Linked DNA regions of Drosophila melanogaster. The protein of the gene in region 1 purifies or fractionates together with the protein of each later gene. This does not show direct contact. Each region holds a gene or a part of one and is shown on either strand. Other genes may lie near its edges. The genes, in order: ben and Uba1.

Region 1 (3,925 bases):
CATCTATTATTTCAATGACTTATTGTACGAAAACCAAGAGAATTTCATTATATTCTACCACTAAAGAAGTGGCTATACTAGTCTTTCTTTTTCGACTAAATCTTCACTTTGTAGCAGAACTTTAAAACGTCCTTCGATTTGAATGTCTTCTTACACTCTTCACCTCGTCTTCTCTATCAATTTCTTCTCCCCTTTCCCCCCTCACTTTCTATCACATTCCTTTGAAGATCAGCTGTAGCGGTTAGAATTTGGCCATATCGAGCGTAAAAATACATAGAGGAAGGCACTAAAAACAGCTGCAGCTCAAGAGCGAATAAAGGTCGCCCCCGTTCCGCCCTCTCTTGCTCTTTCATCCCCTCTCGCACCAACCCACACACTTTCACACACACACACACACACGTGCACTGCGTAGGGAAAAGCAGCGCAGTTGCAGCAGAAAAACAGATAAACAGCAAAGCAGAAAAGAGGCAGGTTGCTCTCTCTCGCTCTCACTTGTGGGCTGGACTACAGTCGTTGTTGTTGGTTTGGCCAGCCTAAAAACGGAGATCGCACGTGTGTGTGTGTGTTTGTGTGCGGTGTGTGTAATGCTTATGGCTGTCTTGCTGTTGTTGGTTTTGTTGCCCTTTTGCAGTTGGTGTTTGTTTTTATCTCACACTCGCACACACACATGCAACCGGCCTATGCAATCGAACGAATACGAATGGTAAATAGCATGTGTGTGTGCGAGCGAGAGGTTTCGCTTGTTTTTTTTTGTATTTTAGTTTTCTGCCTTCCGCCTTGTGGTTTTTGTTGTTGCTCATTTCGGCTTCTTGTGCGTCCATTGGGCATTGCATTCGAGGTGTGTGGGTGTGAGTGCAAGTGCGCAGTTGTGTGTGTGTGTTCGGACAGCCTCTCTTTTTAAAAACGCATAAATGTTGATTACAGTAAATTGACAATTTGTTGTTGTTGCTATCTCGCTTTTTGGGTTTATGTTTTTGCACGTGTCTGATTGGAATCCTGTACCGGCTCCTTTTAGACTTGTTAAATAACGAAACCTATGTACAATCATTTTTTTAATCATTAATTTGCTATCGAATAATACTAAAGAAATAAAATTTATTTTAATTTGCATGCAATTTTTTTTTATTATAAGTCTTATTGTGATAAAAGTTTTTGGGAAACACATGGTTATGATGTTAAAAAGAACATAAAACCATATTAATAAGTGCTAATATGCAGTTCAAATATCGCTTTATAAAGTGCTGACATAAATGACCAAATTTCTCGAGAATTTTAGATGTATTTACCTTAGGTATGAAGTTAGGTTACATCTGATGAATATTAAAAATGCAAAGCATTGGTTTTAAGCAACGAAAACAAAGATCAAAGTCGTCGATTAAATAAATCCCGACTAAATTTATTGCTTATTCCCGGGAACTTACACTTTTTGTTACTTCTCTTTCGTGTTTCTTTCAACTGGATTTGTCCCGCCAATTTTCCAATCAAAATTTCTGACAGAAAAAAGCTAAGCGCTCCAAAACCTTGGGTTGTAGCGTGCCGAAGAGCTGATTGCTATGAAACACTGTCCTATTTGACAGCCGCTAAGCGCTAGAGTTGTCACCGAAAATGCGTTTTTACTAGTGCGAACAATAAAATTACCTGCGCAAAAATGGAAAAATGGGATAAAAAACAAGATGAGTAGCAAAGAAAATATTTAAAGATATATTTGTACTGAAATTAAACTGAGAAGGAGGTGCAAACGTGTTGCAAAAAAATTGAATTCACATCTAGGCACCCTAGCAACCCTGTCATTTTGACATTGCCGCTCACACGCACGCCACACAGACGCACGTTAGTCACAGCAACGCACACACACACTACCAAACGGCTACATTTTTTTTCGAGTGTGTTCGACATTCATAATTTTTGTGGTGGAGCTGCCTGCAAAATCGAATTTTATCAGTTTGCCAACGAAGTTATCGGCCATAACTGCAAATAAAGTTCAGCAATAACTTGGCGCTGTTACGATGTGAGTTTGTGTTTTATCGAAAGTTGCATACTTTATCTAAAAACCATTGTTTTTGTCCAAAAATGTTGTAAATGCCCGAAAAAATACCAAAGTGAGAACAACAACAACAACAGCAGCAAAAAAAAAGCAGGAGCAGCAGCAGCAGAAGAAGCAGAGGCAGCAGATAAAATTTAATATAATATCGAAGAAGAGCAAGAAAAAAGCCGTAAAAGTTGATAAATCGAATATATATGTGTGTGTGTGTGAAAAATAATAATTGCGGCGTTCGCACCAAGTATTCGCCGTTTTTTTCTATTAACTTAAATTCGCCAAAAAAGCGGCGTTTGCTTTTCTTCTTTTCTTGACTCGCCCTCTTTGTCTCACCCATCCGCATATTCTCTTTTCGCCTTTGTCTTTTTCGTGCGCGTTGTCTGCATTTTGTCTGTGTGCGTGGGTGCGTGACTCGCTGTGTCTGTGTGTGTGCGTATGCAAGCGAAATTGTTGCTTGTAAAAAAGAAAAATCTTATTTGGTTTTTTTTTTGTAGTTTAATTGCCAACATTATTGATTTTTCAAGCGGTTCACCCCGTTTCTCCCCCTCCGCATTCCTCCTGTCCAATCTGCTTCTTCTTCCTCTGCGGAACTACGTGCATTTGTCACCCAAAAGGGAAATCAATAAGTTGGTAAAACAGCGAAACGCCGCACATTATGGTTAAATTATTGCTGTTTTCGCGTTAATAACGCAATTTCTTTTGTTTGCTTCGAGTGTTTTTCGTTGCTGTTGTTGTTGCTTTCGCAATACAATTTCTGGAAATTTTGGGGCATTCATTTATTGCCTTTTGTTTCTGGTTTATCTGCGTCTTTCTTTCCCCTTCTCCTCTTTATTTTACTTGATTTTCCGTGTGTCTGGGAAATGTAAACAGTTAAAGGAGCCGCAAGGTCACGCTAAAGGAGTTGGCAATAGTGGGTGGGCTTTGACTTACACAAGCAGAAATTTATTTTGAACTTCGCAAAAAGTGTAACGGAAATAAATCCAGAAAATATTGAAAATATTGGTTTACAATATAGTCTAGATATCCAGAATCAAGTTAATAACTTTGAATTCCGTTCATATACTTCAATATAAATATTATTAAGTACTACAATTTGAAAACATCTTTAAATATACAACATATTTTGAATTAGTTTATTTTTTTTTTTAGCCACATAGAGACATCTTTGTGGCATGCTAAATTCTGTAGTAAAACTTTCTTGGGGAAAGTGAAAGCCACGTATCAGACCAAAATCCACCCAACCCTGCACACACGCATCCCCATAAAGAACGACCTTGAGCTGCAAAAAGGAAAATTCTCTTTGACTTGCCACGCTCTTCCCCAAGAAAACCAAGTGAAACTCCAATTTACTAATGCTACTATTTCACCGATACATGTAGTTGAGCCCTTATTTAAATTAGTAATTAGTTTAATTTCACAGTTGAAACCACGACTGTAAACATTAGGGATACTAATTTATAGTCTTAATTAACGTTGAGTGGATAGTGGATGATACCGAGGAACTACTTAATTGGTTAACTTCACTCCGATCTCGTTTGCAGCTCAACGAGAAGGTCCAGACTCAACCCGCGTTTCCAGTTCACCGCGTAAAAGGAACCAGCTAAACGATGTCCAGCCTGCCACGTCGCATCATCAAGGAGACTCAACGTTTGATGCAGGAGCCAGTGCCTGGGATCAATGCCATTCCCGATGAGAACAATGCCCGTTACTTCCATGTGATCGTGACCGGACCGAACGATTCGCCCTTCGAGGGCGGCGTGTTCAAGCTGGAGCTGTTCCTACCGGAGGACTATCCAATGTCAGCGCCCAAAGTGCGCTTCATCACGAAGATCTACCATCCGAACATCGATCGTTTGGGCCGCATTTGCCTCGACGTGCTGAAGGACA
Region 2 (3,925 bases), on another chromosome or scaffold:
GTGCGTCGTGCGTGATACTAGCTATCATGGTGGAGATCGGCTGTGTGCCATCCTGATCGTAAATGGTAAAGCTCTCGCCAAAGTCACAGAACACCTTGGCGAACAGTCCGCGCGTCTCGGCGATGATCAGAGCAATGCCATTTTCATGGGCAAACTTGGCGATCCTCTGCTGCTCCTCCCCGTCGGAGTTGGTCAGTACCACAACGCGAAACTTGCGCAGGAACTCCTCGGTAAGCGGCCCCGTGTGCGAAACGGTGCGCACATAGTTGTTTAACTCGGCCAACTGGGCGCAAGAGGCCTCCGCACGATTCTTGCCGATATCGGCTTCCGTGAGATAGAATTGCGACGACAAGTCATGGAGCTGCAAGACAAACGAATAATCATTAATATTATATATCAACGGTGATGAAATTAGCAGACGGGAGCCATGACTAACAAAGGAAAATTGGTTCTGTGCCGAGTGTACAGCAAAGACATATTTGTCATTAGAACAAAAAAGTTTTTATGATACAAGAAAACTTTAAATTGAAAGGCTATTAACTAAATAATTGATATATTACGGTTTATGAGAAACTCATAGATCTTAAGTTGAATCTTTCAGTGCATAAAACAAAACCGAATGCGTTGAGCAAAGGGGAATGCAAACACAACGGCAGCGAGCGATGCGCATACGGTTGTCCCGCTCACACACTTTTCGCATGGCGCAGACATTTTGAGGCAAATAGAAAAAGAAGGAAAACCGAATTACACACACAAAACGAATTTTTTGCAAGCAAATAGAGATGTTAACCTAACCTTATTTCGCGCGAAGTCTATGATAAATAAATCAAATAAAAACTGAATGATTCACTAAGACCAGGGATGCCAAGTCAGCCTTTCCGGGCATTTCCCGCGTCCGCCTGGAAAATTATCGATTTTTTCTTCGCCCCACACACATACCCCACAAGTTGCTGTGTCATGCAAGGTGATCGATTTCACGCCGCCCAGAATCACATTCTTGGCTATCTCCAGGCCGAGTCCTCCAAGTCCCGACAGAAGGATATCCGAATTGGCCATCCGACGCATCGCATCGTGACCCAGGACGTACAATTGGCGCGAGTACAGCGATTCATCGATATCTCCGCCGGCGGCGGCACTGTTTCCAGCCATGTTGCTGCTTCCTTCCAGTTGTCGGTTATTAGTGCTGTTATTACTGTTATTGTTGCTGGAGCTGACGTTGTTGTTGCTGTTGCTAGTGGCGGATGCACTGGAGGAGGCTTCTTGCGATTCTATTGTGGTGGTGTTCAGGTAATTGCGCTTCTCCGGCCGCTTGCTTCCTTCCTTTTCCACTGCTGACGAGGTACTAACGTCGTCGCCGCTTCCTTGGCTCTGTTTCAGTTTCTGCTTTTCGGCTCGCTTCGCCGCAGCATTAACGCCGCATGTGTCAGAGGTAGACGACGATACGCACAATTCCAGCTGGTGCTCGCTAGTCGTCTTGCTCTGGCACTTGCCCGAAATGTCAACGCCGCCTGCTTTGTCGTGATTTTCGTAGTTGTTGCTGCTACTGCTGCTCGTTGCTCCGCCGGCTTCTTCCTCTTCCATTCCCATTGCCCCCACTCCGTCACCCAACAACTCTAAACGCCTTTTTTTGGCCAGCGGCGAATGGTCACTTGAGCTGCAGGCTGGCGAATCGGCCATCAATTGCTGACCGCTCGACATAGCTTCCTTGCTGAAATATTGGCAATCGAATTTCCCAGTTGCGGCTGCACCGCTCGCCCTCTCTCTTTCGCACACACGCACACTGCAGAATGCGGACACACGCACACGGATGGACACACAAGAACGCTATTTAGTCCGGAAGTCAATTTCCCGTGGTTTCTGACTCGTTCCAGGACAGCGGATTCTATTTGTGGCCGAATTTCTAACAACGCACTCCCAAAAATACAGAACACGCACGATCGAGTTGCAGTATAGAATTCGCAGTAGTGTGGCCGCGGCTCTTGAAATTGGCAAGCCTGCCCAGTGTGACCGACCTGTGTGAATTGGAGGTGGCACAATATAGATTTTATTGCGATGCTATCGATATTTCCGCAATTGGTTAGTTAGGTTTCTTTTCTATATAATAACGCCCAGATTAATAATCCAATTAATTCACATTATTTTAATAATTAAACAGACGGCTTTCATTTTTATTATTCTATTATTTGTAAGTTGGCCAAGTAAAACCAAATGAATTTACACAATTAAAATTGGTAAGCGGGACAAATAAATCAGATTCAAAACTGATTTGCAATACTCCAATTAGCAAAGAATAGGCAGTGGGTTTAAAGCCCAGCTAAGCGCAGTTAAGACTTAAACCTTTTGTGTCACTAACTTATCTAAATAATATTTTTTTGGAGATCTGGCAGGCCTGAATAGTCTAAGAGGCGGTGTTGGTAAACACAAGTTTACCGCGTATTCAGGATACATTTGAAATCGTTTATGTTTATGTTTTTACTACACCGACTGAAATATTAGATTTTGTTAGAGTTAGTTAATTCTTTTTAAACTTGAAAAAAAAAACGGTTCGGGTTCAAAAAATACAAGCTCGTTTAATGAAAATATGGCTCGCATTTTCAAAAATTTGTTGATTTCAATTGACATTTTTTTGCTATGTAATGTTCGAAATTTAAATGTATATTGGTAATATATTTATTTGATAAAATTTAAAGTGGGTTTTAATTTGTTTCAAACTGCTTATAAATAGATGATAACAGACTTCTGGGTCATTACTTTATTTTTCATAATTGTGGTGCAAGCACAACCCTGATATCTTGATATTATTCATTATAATAATAATAATTATTCATTATAATATAGCTTGGCTTCCCCATTATAAATTCCTATATACTTTGTACTGGTCAAACTTAAAAGTAACTTATACATGTATATGGCTTAAACTTGATATTTTTGAATTATGCCATTTAATAGATCGTTCTTATTTTTCTAAACAATTCAAAAATTGTGTTCCCTTCTTCTATAAATAAAGCAATATTCACAATATTTTGAATAAATAAAATATATTGGAATATTCGTTTTTGTGAGTGACATAATATCGATTGAAAGTTAATTTAGCAAATACATATTTCAAACGTAGAACAACCTCTTAATAGATGTGTGTTCAAAAAACTTAAATTTAATAATTCTTTACTCTCCGATTTCATCAACTTCTAAGCCATTAGCTCGAAATTGAAATATATACTTCAATGAGTTTGCTGGTCATCAATCTGTCGGCACTTGAGGCAATTATCCTGGCCCAAAAACCCCGATCGTGGCACGCGCCCCTCGGCAGTTGTCCCACAAACCAACACCAACTGACCCACGGCGAAGTCCTTCGGTGTCGCTTGGTCCTGGCCGGGTTCAATATCCTTTGAGAGCGGCTAATCTATTTTCGGTCGGGGTTCCCTTTCTGTTCTGTGCAACGGTAGTCGAGCATGAAAATGCGTAAATTTCCACGAAAAACAGAGAGCTATCCTATACCAGTTTTCCGAGCGGCGGGGGTGTGTCCTTTTCAAGTGTTGAGAGCGTGCCATTAGGAAAATGCAGTACGAGGGGCAACAGCTGCAGGATCTAAAGCCCGGATCTTGTCGCACAGTTGCGTAAAATGCATTTTAATTTACGCCTACAGCTGCGCGAAATGCTGCTCCCGTTTTAGAAATTCCCCCCTCCCTCCTCCGACGCTCTAATTTTAGTCCGATCTCGATAGGATCGAGAAACTAGCCGCGGACTTTATCGCGTGCGGTGTGTTCCACGTCCTTGTCGCGTGGTATAACCCGAAAAACACAAATTCCTGCCAAATTAGCATACTGATCCTGCAGCGAATGAGCGGGGGTGTCTGCTGCCCATCTGTCCTCCAAATATTCTGCATCGCGTGCCCCCGAAGAGATATAAACATGCATACGTATGT

What was found.
Region 2: the proteins of ben (region 1) and Uba1 purify together in Drosophila melanogaster (affinity purification with mass spectrometry, with the first as the bait; one large-scale study listed by BioGRID). This does not show direct contact.

Annotation. Positions count from the first base shown.
Region 1 is NC_004354.4:13,994,516-13,998,440, forward strand, and holds the start of ben (bendless), read left to right. Parts: upstream 1-1,829; 5' UTR 1,830-2,008; intron 2,009-2,100; exon of another isoform or gene 2,101-2,282; intron 2,283-3,579; 5' UTR 3,580-3,645; coding exon 3,646-3,925. UniProt on the Drosophila melanogaster protein: Catalyzes the covalent attachment of ubiquitin to other proteins.
Region 2 is NT_033778.4:9,691,343-9,695,267, forward strand, and holds the start of Uba1 (ubiquitin activating enzyme 1), read right to left. Parts: upstream 1,987-3,925; 5' UTR 1,699-1,986; coding exon 940-1,698; intron 362-939; coding exon 1-361.